Linked DNA regions of Arabidopsis thaliana. The protein of the gene in region 2 interacts with the protein of the main gene of each other region in a pairwise test. Each region holds a gene or a part of one and is shown on either strand. Other genes may lie near its edges.

The links.
Region 1: the proteins of STM (region 2) and BLH6 interact in binary tests that used the Arabidopsis thaliana proteins (3 or more experiments, as listed by UniProt).

The regions. Positions count from the first base shown.
Region 1 is NC_003075.7:16,528,526-16,534,972, forward strand, and holds BLH6 (BEL1-like homeodomain 6), read right to left. Parts: upstream 4,838-6,447; 5' UTR 4,261-4,837; exon of another isoform or gene 4,049-4,260; 5' UTR 3,974-4,048; coding exon 3,323-3,973; intron 3,132-3,322; coding exon 2,764-3,131; intron 2,688-2,763; coding exon 2,627-2,687; intron 2,540-2,626; coding exon 2,021-2,539; 3' UTR 1,821-2,020; downstream 1-1,820. Other genes in the region: AT4G34600 (uncharacterized protein), read left to right, coding at 755-839, 1,115-1,161, 1,314-1,433.
Region 2 is NC_003070.9:23,057,080-23,065,582, forward strand, and holds STM (KNOX/ELK homeobox transcription factor), read right to left. Parts: upstream 4,985-8,503; 5' UTR 4,644-4,984; coding exon 4,215-4,643; intron 3,755-4,214; coding exon 3,499-3,754; intron 2,809-3,498; coding exon 2,555-2,808; intron 1,927-2,554; coding exon 1,717-1,926; 3' UTR 1,503-1,716; downstream 1-1,502. Other genes in the region: AT1G62350 (Pentatricopeptide repeat (PPR) superfamily protein), read left to right, coding at 434-856. UniProt on the Arabidopsis thaliana protein: Required for shoot apical meristem (SAM) formation during embryogenesis. Negatively regulates ASYMMETRIC LEAVES1 (AS1) and ASYMMETRIC LEAVES2 (AS2 or LBD6). Probably binds to the DNA sequence 5'-TGAC-3'. Binds to RNA.

The DNA.
Region 1 (6,447 bases), on a different chromosome or scaffold from region 2:
CAATTCATTTAAGTTTAACACTTTTTAGCAAAAAATTATGAGAAAAATTTATGACTCTATCTTTCAGTAAGTATGTTATGATCGATTAATTTGAGTTAAACGAAGTAGTGTATCATATATAGTATATCACTATCAGATTTATAGAGGCCTAATCGTACATTATTCAGTTGGTTATAGCTAGCGATATCTCTTGATTGGAGAATAGGAATGGAACTTTGACCGATATTGAATACCTAGTCTTCAAGGATTCTACAATATAATTATGATGATTTGGTAAATTTAATTGGGTTATGATAATGAAGGCACTCATATTAAATAATCAGGTCACTAACCTCTTTAGACTTATTGTGGCCAACAATAGGAAAGTAGTCTCCTTTCAACTTTTTCTCCAATCCCACCATTTCCATGAACAATTTTTTTAATTAAAAGCATTAAGAGATATTTGCATTAATTAAATGATGGATAAATCAATTGTTGTTATGGTATTTTACTATTTTTATTTATTTGTAATTGATACAATCTAATTTTGAAACTCAAGCTAATCTCTATTTAAACCGGTTTTTATTGTTGCTTTTTATTTAAAGCATTCACGTTGGCTAAACAAATTAGTTAACTTTTAATCGTGTTATTTCTTTAGAGATTATATATAGTGATATACCAAACGCATTGGCTTCTCTTTTTTTTGATAAGGTACGTGTATCTAAATACACAAGATACAGCTTAAGGCACATCAAAAATTGAAAGGAGAAAGAAGATGGGTTTGTTGCCATTGGTGAAGAAACTAGGTTTCATCATCTTTCTTCTAGTTTCAGCTTCAGCGTTTGCTCTCTGTTCTGCAGGTTTGTTTCTTACTTTTTTTTCTCTCTCTCTATCTACATATTTATATTCCTTTGTTTGCAGCTTTTCTCTGCAACTTCATGTGCCTCCTACTGAGATCAGTCTTTTAGAAAGTAAGATAATAACATTAAGAGCTTGTGCTCTCCACATGTGTGTTAATGACGACTAAAGGAGAAAATTAACGACATAGTATGTTACGTTAGTGTTATTTGGATTGATTAATCTTGGATATAAAGAATAGACAAGCTTAAGTCTCTTTTTTTTTTCTTTTTTGTAGGCCGATCATCCATTTTAATCTATAGCCAAGAAGATGATCATCCCGAGGTATTCGTTTTAACTCCAAAAAAAGTTGCCAACTACCGTGCGTTGTATATCTTTACTTAGTAAAAAACCGAACAAATTGATAATCAAGATCGTAGTTATATGATTTCAAGAACAATTTTGTACGTTGGTGAATACATTCTATTTGTGGACAGGTAGTAGAAAGAAGAATACATGAGCATGAGAGAATTCTGAGAATGAATTCAAGAGACTATGGCCACTCCAGTCCTAAACCAAAGCTCGTGAGACCTCCTTTCAAGCTTATTCCCAACTGATCATGCATATCACCGATCGACTATATATAGATGCCAGACTTTCTGAGATGTATAATATATGTAAACCTAAATACTAACACTGCAATAAGTTTGAATGATAATCATATATATAAGTTTCAAGATATGTTTTCTAGTAAATTAATGATTAGATAGTGCTCTTTGCTATCATGCAGAATGTAAATTTGGTGAATAGTCATCATTAGATGAATATTACAATTTATCTGATAGAATCCTTATGATCAAAATTAATATTGAAATATTCGATTAATTCTGAAAACGGATACAGATTGTATATGTGCCAGACAAAAAAAAAGAGAAGAGAATTGGGAACGTTGCAGTTTCGTAGATGTGATAAGATAATAAGTCTACAGTGTAATGTCCATCTCTTGCAGATCTCAAATTGCATTTACCATATTCTGTTTGGTCCCAATGACCTAACCTCACTTATATTCTTGTACAAAAGAATGTTTACTTTATACAAATATTTCTAAAACTTTTTCTTCTGACCAACATTCTTCCACTACAGAATTGAGACTGATCATAAGTTCATCACACCTATGCTTTATTCCTCTCCATTGCTTACTTCTTCAAGCTACAAAATCATGTACCAATTGTGAAGAATTTATCCGGTTCTGGCGACTTCCGGGGTTTACATACTCCATTTCATCTCCCGGGATGGCATTCTCGTAAATATCCACCCCGGAAAAGTTGTTGTATGCCTCACTAGACATAGCCACAACATTGTCCTGTCCTTGAGAGTTTTGAAGCCCTAGAGTCAAGGACACATCACCACGACCCAATCTTGACGTATCAGCCACATGATATGTAGGCTCAACTGCCATGAACCGGCGACCATCCATATGACTGCCTTGGACCATGCCACGAGTTTCCTCGCCATATCCATGTCCATGGTCCGGTTTGGTCTGGTCTTGTGAAAACTCTCGAGCTCGATCTTCATCATCAGCAGCAACAGGTCCTATCTCAGACATTTTCGGTGTATTTTCGGAAGACGAGTTGGAATCATTCTCTGTGAATTCCTCCTTGTATATCTCCTCCACCATTGGCTTCCATAAACGCACTCGTGCATTTATGAACCAGTTTGAAACCTTTTACAAACATAAAACACACAACAATCAATAAATAAACTATACTATGAAGAGAAAGAAACAATCTTCAAATAAAACATTCCTTACCTGACCGCGGCTCAAGCCCGTTTGTCTTGCTAGCATGATCTTATCAGAATCCTTTGGGTAACTATTCATGTTTTCAAACAGTAATCATCACTATTTATGAAGAAAATGTGTGGAGATAAGATTCAAGGGAGACTTACGGGTGAAGAAAATGCTCAAAGAGCCAAGCACGGAGAATCAAAACAGAGTTTTCAGGTAGACCGCGTTGAGGTCTCCAAGCTTGAGGTTGCATAAAACCTCTTTGTTGTCTTAAATGTTGATCAACGTACTTAAGCCGGCTTATAATCCCAACTCTTTTCCCATCTGATCCATCTTGTTGTTCCCCAAGGCATTTACGTAGCACGAGGATTTGTCCGGATATCGCATCCCTTAGGCTACGAAAATGGCGAGAAATTGTTTGAAGGGCGAGTGCTGTGTATGGCTTAGCTGCTCCATAACCAGCTATCACATCGAACGAGGATACAACTATCTGCATCTGCTGGTAATATTGCTTATATCTTCTATCCACCTTTACCAAAATCAAGAAATATCTCATTTTCTTAAATATTCAACATATCCTATATATACCAAATGTAACAACATTATGGCTGCAATTTATTTAAATGTATGCTTTTTTGCATTTAAAATATTATAACAAAAGGCCTATAAAAGGTAACCATCACATGATCAAATTAAGAAGATTAGGTCTCAAGTTATTACCTCATCCAACATTGACAAGAGTTTTGTCAACTTGCTCTGCATTTCTTGTCTCTCCGACTGAGAGATGTCCGCAGGAGGATTCGTGCTCGAGTCTTGAGTGCTCTGATTCGGTTCTTGAGGGTTCTCATTGTTTTTATCTCCCTCTGCCTGAAACTGCTTTAGAGCTTTCTTTACATTAACAGCCTCATCTAGAAGCTGTTGAGCCGCCTTAAGATACTTTGAGTTGGGAATTGTTCTCACAACATCCAAGTTCTGATTCCCGCCCGGAAAACTCTGTGTTGCATACTCATTGCCTCTCGGCGCCATATTTTGATGGCTTATCTGATGAATTCCTGGAAGAATCTGTGAACCAAGGCTAAGGGACAGTCCCTGACCGGTCTGAAGAATCCCCGTGGCACCTGCCATCGCGCTCATTAGCTGGAAACCGTTCCTGTCACTCGCTTGATCTCTCCAAGAACCGAAATCTTGACCAATGTTCTGCATTTGTGGAACTCCCCCAAATCTGGACAATGCTTGCCTCTCTTGTGAGGCTGAGACATTGTTAGCTTCAGTTCTTCTTTCTCTACCGGCTGATTCCTCAGAGTAAGAAACTATAGCATTCTGGATCATTGAATCTCCGGGAATAAACTGTGTTTCTGGATAATTCTCCATCGAAATGGAGTGTTCTTTTTGGCTCACTTGAGTTCCATAGTCCCTTGTTTTCTGATCAGGTCGTAAGAACTTAACCTTATGGAGGAAATGCTTGACATTAAAGACAGATTCAAAAACAATTGAAACAGAGCAGGATCCATATAATCAGTGTATTGCTAAGAAACATGTAAGATTTCAACATGTCTTGAATATATGGTTATGCATGCAATTATGGAGATGCAAGCCAAATCCATAGACAACAAAAAAAAAAGAAGAATTGTATAGAAATAAAAAGATTAGTAAATTACCTGGAAACCAAACTGCTACTTCTGATGGATTGTTGAAGGAGACAACAAAATCTTGAAAAGAATTAAAAATTAGAAAATGTGAAAGATTTTATTGATATCTTAAAAGAAAGAAATCAGAAGGTTACGCCTCTTTCTCTTGGTTGTGTTTTTTTTTTGGTATGAGATATAATTTGAATTCATCATCTCATCAATGTCACACGTGAAAGACCCATATCATACTCTCCCTCCTCCGGAAGAAAGAAAGAATGGAAAAAAAAAACTTTGAATTTCTTATTTAATAGTATATAATATGGTAATAAGAAAATCAAATAAAAACTTTATTTTGTTTTCTGAAGATATTGCTTCAGAAAGCCATAATCTGGTTGGTGCTTGAACCTCCTGCTTCTTGCTTATTGATTCCTGGAGTCAAGTCTTTGGTAAAGAGAAGAAAATTATTGTGAAAATGTTATATAAATGTATGGTTAAGGAGTTTCTATCTTTAACAACCAGTTGGTCGACCTAAACCCCTCTCTCTTCATCTTTCTCCCAATCCTAAACCTAATCTTAATCCCAATCCTTATCACTCTCTGTCTCTTAATTACACATTGATTAAATCAATATCCTCCATATAATCACATTTCTATTTTCTTTACTTAAGTTGAAAAGTACAAAGAATCAAAGATGCTACTAGCTTCTTGACATAAAGTCATCTTAAATTTAAATTTAAATTCGGAAGTGTTGAGTTATATAGTTTATTTTGCAAGTAAACAATAAAAATTTAGCAGATTAGTAGATCGTGGTGAATTTTGATTAAGTATATATATCACAACTTGTTTTTCTGATGAATAGGTCATTAACTTATCATTATAAACACATAACTAATGTTTATTATGTGAGTTTTGATTAAGAGTATTAGCTACTTTACTTTTTAAGTAAGCCAAGCCATGATTGTTTCTTCTTCCTTTTCTTTATATATTTCTTTCATACTTTTTTGGTATCTGATTATACATTCGTGGACTCTGGTCGTCCAGAGGCTATGCAACTATTAAAGAAATAAGGGTCCCAAAAAATAACAAACACAACTTTTTCTTCTTTTTTATTTTCATTTTGTAAACACCATAAGTGCTCGTTTTCCCCACTGAGTTTTGTCTTTTCCTGGAAACAACTTGTAGATATTTATGGATTAGTACTTTTTCTTTCAAATGCTTCTAAACTTAGCATTCACTTTCTTGTTTGACAGAAGTCTATATCCTAAGTCCTAAGTCCTAACTTGGTAACTACTATAATCTTTAAGACTAGGGTCCAATACTGATTAGAGGCTGAGAGAATCGTTAGTTCCATGGGCGAGACTTGAGAGCAACAACACAAAGATAATGAGAATGACTTAGATAGTGATAGGAAGTTGATCAGGGTGGATTTTTGAAGAAATATAAAGTATTAGGTGTAGAATGAAAATAGAGGTATAGCTGTCTGAATAGGGACAGATGTTGCAGCGAGAGGGTCAGAGCCAGAGATGCCGTAATAATACGAACAATGAACATCTCTGAAGGAAGAGAGAGAGAGAGAGAGAAAGAGAGAATCTAATGGGATACGAAGCGAGAGATTTTGTTGGCCCAATAGAGCTGTAATGTCCCAAAGACACATCCTTTTTTCCATAACTATAACATTTTTATTAGAAGACCAATTTAGTTTGAAATAGATTATTGTCTAGTTACTAGTCTCTTGCATGTGTTTTTAACACATATAGACGATACAAATACATTTTGGCAGATATTGAAACCAAAAAGACGGAACAAAATTTTGAAGAGAAGCAATATAAGAGTTTCAGACCTATATGAGAATAAGAACTAATTTCAAGATCAACGAGATTATATAACTACTACCATGTAGAAGTAAAGATATACATAAAAGGTAAGAACGAGGTTCTAATGTCCAAGATCATATTCAGGCAGATAACTTTTTTTTTTTTTTTTTTTGAGCAAATATGGGCCTAATTCCTTTTTTTAGCATACAATCCAGATATTGAGAATGAATCTTATTTTTGAAAATATGGGCCTCTTACCAAAGCCTATTTAGTCTAAAGTGAGAATTGTTAAATGTAAAAAGGCATGCTCATATTAAAGAATAAAAATTCACCAAACTCTGTTGCAGAAAAGTCTTAACCAACATAACATTAAACTGCTTTCACATAGAAAGCAAAAGTCTTAA
Region 2 (8,503 bases):
TTCATGCTTCCTCTTGCCGCTTGGCTTCACCTAATAAACCGAATCCGAACCGAATTAGCCTAACTGGTTTGGTTCAGCTATTTCGGTTTGATTTTATAAGCCTAGTTCTAAGTTTGGTTATGGAGTTTGTTGATGGTGTTACTGTTAATGTTTATGCTTCGGTTAAATTTTGGTATATTTCTGTGAATTCGGTTATATTTAGGATAAAATTTTGGTAATTTCGGTTTGGCAATGCCGAACCAAACCAGTTACTGAATTTCATACTTCCTCTTGCCGCTTGATACCTAATAAACTGAATCAGAATCGAATTAGCCTAACTGGTTTGGTTAAACTATTTCGGTTTGGTTTATATGGAGCTTGTTGATGTTTATGTATTGTCACTTGTCGTTGATGTTTAATTTGGTTTAGTGTTTGTCTTCTTATTATGTTTCAGCTCTATGAAGTAGTGAGGAGAGAAATATGGTACAGACCGGACATGTTTTTTTACAGAGACATGCTAATGATGCTTGCAAGAAACAAGAAAGTTGATGAAACCAAGAAAGTATGGGAAGATTTAAAGAAAGAAGAGGTTTTGTTTGATCAACATACATTTGGAGACCTTGTTCGAGGGTTCTTGGATAATGAACTTCCTTTAGAAGCAATGAGATTGTATGGAGAGATGAGAGAGTCTCCTGACCGGCCTTTATCTCTGCCTTTTCGAGTTATTTTGAAAGGACTCGTTCCTTATCCTGAGTTGAGAGAGAAAGTTAAAGATGATTTCTTGGAGCTTTTCCCTGGAATGATTGTATACGATCCTCCTGAGGATATATGTGAAGATAGTGATGAAGAAGCAAGAACAGATAGCGATCTTGAATAGAGAGGTATGTCTTGAATCAATGCTTGGTTTGGACTGTTTAGTTAGTGCTCAAAATGTCAGTGATGATATTATCCTCGAGGCTGACCCGATGTATCTTCGATCCATAGTTTCTCTTGTTCTGCACATCCACTAACTTCAGGAACCATGTCCCAGTTTCAGGTTAGATCAAGTGGGAAAACAAATGGAAGATTGTGGCTATGCAGAAACTGGAACTATTCGTCTTTGGTAGGAACAAATTATGGCTATTGAAAACTGAAGATGATGAGGAGCATATGAAGAAGAATTTGAGAAGCTTATAAGCGTATATATGTGTAAAGATCACTCTCAGCAATGCTAAATGCTGCTGTATTGAATCGGTTCAAGATAAGTCATATGTTTGTGAAGATACATACAGCAGAAAGCGTTTTAAGGGACAAAACTATTAGAAGTGGATTAAGTTTTGGTCGATCTTGTCTTTTTGGGATAGTGATGGGTCTGTTTGGGCCAGACTAGGTCTTTTGGAGTAATAGCATTCTCTCTTTTCTTTTCGTCTTTTCCATCCCAAAAGTACAAAATTTCGACGCAAATACTTAAAAATTAGCAAGGAAGATATACATACAACCAAAAAATGGTCCAAATTGTCAAAAAGGTTGTCAAATAAAAAGAATAGATCAAAAAAGCTTTACTATCATTATAATAGGAATAGGAATTTCGCATAACAATAGAACAACACAAAAGGATACACACCACAACATCAAACGCTTGTTCATCAATCGGAACATGTTTCATATGTTCCAAGTATACCGAGAACCATAGATTATACATATTATAAGCTGTTTAACGATTATAAATATAATGAAATAAACGTTTTAAAGGATCGATCAAAGCATGGTGGAGGAGATGTGATCCATTGGGAAAGGATTGCCCAAGACATTATCCATGAAGTAATGGTGAGGATGTGTTGCGTCCATTACTACAAACTGCATGTCCTCCGACGGCTTCCAATGCCGTTTCCTCTGGTTTATGAACCAATTGTTTATCTGTTTCTGGTCCAGCCCCGTTGATTCCGCAAGGGCGAGCTTTTGTTGCTCCTGCAATTTCATATCACATGCGAGAAAAAATCAATCATCAAGTGTTCTCTCCGATATAAGGTCAGTCCATGATCACAGCTACATCACGATTTGCTAGATTGTAAGGAGAACTTAGAATCCATCTACTCATACGAACATGGGTAATGACACTATACAAGTGTAATAAAGACATGAGCTACTATTGCATTAGGGTATGGCCTCATGCACCCTACTTTCCAAAGTTATGACTTGAAATATGTGCAACAAAGTTTAGTCTAAGTTATGGTACACAGCCATAAGATGAAATTGATCGTAGTCTTGACTAAGATTGACATATTATTCGGACCCTAAAAAAGGTATGGAAGCAAGAATCAAGTTTGTCATCGGCTAATAGACCAAAACAGTACACATAGACTAAATAAGTTCACTTCATTCAGCTTTTAGGATTTCAAATTATGCAAATGCATATTGTGCAATGCCAACATGAGCTAACATAAACTAATGTCCCTAACGATATAGTATGAATGCAAAAATCACTAAAAACATTGAAACAAGCTAATAGACAACTAAATTGAATTTGCTATCATATAAATGCTTTTTTAAAAACATGAAATGATTATTTAATTAGAGTATAAGGGAAGAGAGTTACCGAAGGGTAAGGCCATTTGTAGTGACGGCTCCACCAATCAAGCAGTTGTTGACGAGCTTCTTTAGGGAGCTTTCCTTTCTTCCTCTTCTTCATGAACTCTTGCTTGAGGCTCCCTAAGTAACCACTGTACTTGCGCAAGAGCTGTCCTTTAAGCTCTCTATCCTCAGCTTGTGGATCTACAAATTCATTGTTCATATCGACTTCTTCCTCGGATGACCCATTATTGTTCCTATCAATTGCTGTCTCTCCATAACCTTATATTGATTAAACATGTGAAAGCAAGACAAATTTGTCAACAAGAACATGTGTCTAGGGAAATGAAAAAGAATAGGCTAGTGATCCAAATAATTCAAAGTAACATGTTAAGTAGATGTGAGTTTGTGTGTCTATATAAACTTAACTACATTCTTGAAAAGAAGAGTGATATGACATTGTGTAGATATATGTATATGTGATTATACGTACAAAAACATGTGTATGTCTAAATTGAGCAATAGATCTAAGGACGAGCAGACTCTAGATCCAGATATTCTTTTTGATGCATTTGAATTAAATAGATCCAAAACAAACGGAGAAGAAAGAGACAAGAACAGTGATTGTTGTTGTACCAAAGCAAATGAATTCAATTCCAAACAAAACAAAAAAACAGTAAACAAACTGTTTTAATTCAATGAAAACAACTACATACACTAACTTATGTATAGATAGATTATACACGTAAACCTAGTAAGCTATATATAACAATCTGACACTAACCCTAGTAACAACCATCAAAGGGGTATTTACCCAAGAAAAATCAGAAAAAGGAAAATCTTTCTTAAAACCCACAAAGAAAAAAAACAACTTTCCTCATCTTACGTTTAATTTGACGCCATAATTAACAAGAATATGAATTAAAAAGAAAGAAAAAAAAACAGAGAACTAGAGAGAGAGGAGAGAGTAACCGGAGAAAGAGGAAGGTGAGGATAGAGAGAGGGATTTGAATTGACACTCGACACGTTGAAGGAAGACCATAGCTTCCTTGAAAGGTTTGGAGAGCTCTTGCTCATACTTAACGAGCATTTCACAGTAAGCTTCCATGAATTGATCAAGCCCTGGATCTTCACCTAGACATCCTGTTGGTCCCATAGATGCGGCAGCGGCTGCGGCAGACGAGCATGCCTCCTCTAGCCTCGCCACAACCTCCGGTGGTGCTCCAACCTTAAGAAATTGTGTAATTAGTAAATGATAGACATAAAAACGTTAATTGAACTAAGATAAGGATCCTCACGTTTATTGTGGATATATAATATAGTAAAGAAAAAAATGAAATAATTATATATGTCCTAATCTTCAAGCCTACATACAATATTTTGGATAATCTCTTGCAAGTAGGGTTTTTACAAATTGTTTCTTGAAACTTTCTCAATATAGGAAAAATTGTATCCTTTGATTTGTATATACTTAGCTGGGTTAAGTAACTAGTAAACAAAAGTAGATATCAAAATCAAACTCAGACATCAAGTAAAGGGTTATGTAAAAAGGAAATAAAAGGTAAAGTTTGGTAATTAGGGTTTCTAGAATCTTTCTCTTCTTTTTTGTGCAAGAAAATCAAATAAGAATCATTAGAGTTACGAAGAAACTTTCAAAGTAATTTTTTCAAGTTTCTTTCTCTCATCACCTTCTGACAATTGACATAAGCGGCCAAGAGGCGGTGGTAGTGAGGATGAGCCATGATCTTGGCCTTGACAGAGGCTGAAGAAGAGGAAGAGGAGCAAGGGTTGATTCCTCCTGCAACGATTTCGTTATGATGGATCTCCATTAGAGAATAGGCAGGAGCACAAGAGGAAGGAGAAGAAGAAGAAGCAACTTTGTTCTTAGTTCCTTGGGGAGGAGCTAGTGATTGAAGAAAAAGGGAACTACTTTGTTGGTGGTGTGACTGATATGCATAACCATCATGTTCTTGTTGTTGATGTTGATGATCATGACCATGATGTTGATGTGATGTCATGATGGGCGGCATCATCATCATCATAGGACACATCGGACCATCACTATTATCCCCGGCAAAAGCCATTGGACAAGAAGTGCTGTTGGAACCACTCTCCATCTTCTCTTTCTCTCACTAGTATTATTATTCACTTTGGCTTTGCTATATAGCTATGAGAAATAAAAAATGAAAATAACATAAAGAAAAAAAAAGAGGAGCCCCCATTGTAAATACAGCTAGCATTTATCATCAATATCATGAAACACATTAAAGTACTATAAATTTATTGGGAAACCCTAAAAGAGTAAGTAACTGTGTGTGTGTATCTATGGTTTAATTTAATTATTTGAAAATGCAAAAGTGGTCTCCCGGGATTTATGCTTCAACAATCAGCTTCCTTTTCCACATTGAAAATTCTAAATAGTGATAGTTATGGGGGAGAGGGAAGCAGCAGAAGAGAGACCAGGAAGATAAATCTAAGGAAATTATTATAAATAGGAAATAACTTTTTAGGAGAAACTTATTTTAAAAAAGTGTAAAAAGCAGACATGGACAGAGGTTGTGTGATCTGTGGGTTCTTAACTCTTTTGTGTTCTTCTGCTGAAATATGATTTCTCATTTATGCCTTTTCGGAAATTAATGTTGTAATTTCTCTTCTTCTTTTTTGAGGTAATAAACCGGATCTCAATTTATTTTTGACAATTTCTTGAAATGGAGAAAACCGGAATGTGCCTCGGAAAGTCCAGTGAAAGATATATTGGAATTTGTTATTTCTTTACCATGGGTCGGGAGTATCAAATCGAATGTTGTCATTTGGTTTTGGTTTTCATACCATGAATTCCCAAAAGTCTAAGTTTCCTGATGGGATATACGTATGCTGATGTTGGTTTAAAAAGTACATTTGTGTATATGTATATATGTATATTATATGGTATGTGAAGATATTATTAGGACTGTTGTACTCAAAAACTTTCTTAGATTCTCTCAATAATTAACCGATAGATCTCCATATAGTATAATTTACGCATTTGTTTCAGTAACATATATTGGATTCGCTTTTGTCAATAGGAAAAGATAGCAGTCTTAGTAATTTTATAATAAGTGATCTAACATTTGATTGCAATCAAAGTTTTAATACTATTGTAAATGTTCTTATGGGAAAAAAATGTTGTTAAGAAGAAGAAAAATGTCATAAATATAATCATAGAGTAAAACATGTAACTGTTTATTTGTTATATAAACGAAAATATTAAACACACATTTTACCTTAAAAAAAAAGTATCTTGTATTCTGTATTGTTTTTAAAAAGTGACAACTGATGGCTTGTTATATTAGACAACAATGAACCATTTGTATTTGCCACCATTATCATGTTCTCGACCTTTTTGGTCGATTGATTGTAATATTAGATGGTAGACCTCTTGCCACTTGAAAAAATAACCAATCACATTCAGACCACTAACCAAATCTATCGAGGCATTTTAATTAGAATAATATACGAGGCTATTAACAATTGTTAGCACTTCTTCGAACGTAGAATTGACTCAACATAGGACACATGTTACTATCAAGAGAATAAGCATGGGACACCTGTACCTGTTTATCCCTGAAAATAGTATACAGACTTGAGAAAAATTCATTTACGATTGACAAAGTAATTCATCAATTGTCAATTTGGAGGATTGTACGAAGGAAAATGATATTATGCATGTTACTTTAATACACAACGAAAGAAATGTATAATTTTACTTTAAATTTAATTGTCTAGTTCAATACTGTGGGAAAAAAAGAAAAACAATACAATTAAAATTATCAAAATTGATAAGTACATTACATCAGTGCCGTTTATTCGATCAACATTTCACTAGCCGTATGTATTGCTAATTTTGTTATCACTATTCGAAATATTATTTAGAAGTTGGATATACTATATATTCCCATACTCGTATGTCTATGTTTATAAGTAAACTATATAAAAATAAATATGTTAAAAAAAAGTAAAGACCAGTATAAAGCTAATTTTTCTTGCTTTTAGGTTAAGGACAGTGATTCGTTGAAATCAAAAGTCTTAGAAAAATATTGAAGAGAGAAATCTTCAAGGCAAAGTTTTACTTTCCCCATGAAAGAAGAAAAAAAACTCTCTCCTCAGCCACTGCCTTCACTGCCATTTCTGGCAAAGAAAAGATAACTGAGAAACTAATAGATAGAGAGAGATTACAAGGAACCCATCAAATCATATTTATATATTACCAAACTGGATTTTATTTCATTTGCTTCAAATTATGATTTATATATACCCTAAAATATATTTTTTTAAAAAATCTTCATTTAGTTATCCAAAATATGTTGGATCTGGACTAAAAAGAAGAAAAGAAGTGATTTTTCTCTTCTTTTTTTTTTTATTTTTTTTTTCTTTGTCTCCTACGCTCATAGAATTTTAAAATCGAAGTAATAAGTTCTCTTTTTTATGATGACAAAAAAAAAAGTTCTCTTTTTATCAATAATAAGATTTTAACCACAACAAATTAGGATAAACAAAATTAGGATAACGTAAAAAAAAAAAAGGATAACATAGCAAAATATTAGATATAAATATTTTTGCATATGTTTTCCTTATGAACTTTAAATAAATTTTAAATACAATAATTAACTTATAGGTAAATATTAATCAATGTTTTGTCAATTATCTCTAGTTGTTATTTTTAATTGCGCTGCGTTTTCGTTTAAGAAGTTATTATACTGTTTTCGACAATATGATTAATGATTTATGCGATTTTGGGAAGTGATGCACTTGCAAAACTTATATATATATCACACTATTTAAATATATATCACTTTTCATATTATTGAAAACGAACGTATATCTCTATAATAGTAGGACAAATAATCTGAAAGTAGTAGGGATTGGAAAGAGTATGAAAAGACATCATTACTAAAAAGCCATTTTGGATGTATATTCATTACATAACCGAAAGCAATTCTACTAAACAAACTTATTTCTTCAGTTTTGCAGTTTCTACTGAATATATTAGTTGGATCAACTTTTACCAAAGCAATACAATTTTATTCTTTTGCCATGGAACCAAAATTGTAGGATTTACTTAATTGTATTACCTAAACCTTTTTCATTTTTCAATGAAATATTTACATTTTTAGCAAAGCAAAATACAATTTTACTTTTCTTATTTGGTTAATTGATGAGTTTTTGGCCAACCTCACGCATATCTTATGATAAGTTAATAACATATAAAACTATTTAATTCATATTCTAAACTATAAAGAATATGATTTTATATCTAAAAATGTAAACAGCTTGATGAGAAAAAAAAAAAGATTTTTTCGGGGGTCTCTCATTTAAGAACCAAATAGTCTATTTCTATTTGAATTTATATATTATTTTGAAAAATCTCACTTTAAATGTTCATAGTTTATACATAATTATATATATATATATATATCCTAAATTTTGTCTACTATTGTGATTGTAATAATAGTTTGATCGTTGTGATAAATGATGATTACAAGTCAAACCTAATGTAATAAACCTGAACTTTTAAAAAATAAACCTGAACTTTAAAACATTATAAGCTGTAAAAAATAAAATTGTGTTTTATAATCTTTTTAGGTTTGTAAATATTATGTTAATTGTTCTTTTTAGAACATGGATTATATTGTGCTAAATTAAAATGAAAATTTAGAAAATATTCACACAGAAATAATTAAGAAGGTTAGATTTATTTATTCAACCAATGGTTTTAAAAGCATCTATATTGGCTCTTAATATAATTCTTAGAGATATTAAAATTTAAATTTAATGTTTAATTGGTAAAATAGTTAAGATTTGGTTCTTATATAAGAAACAAAACACATTTTAATAAACAAAATACACTCTTAAAAAAAAAAAATTATCAAACCTCTTAACATTAAAATAAATTATAAAATTATTGTTAAGAACATTTGCTAAAAGCCCACCAATATGG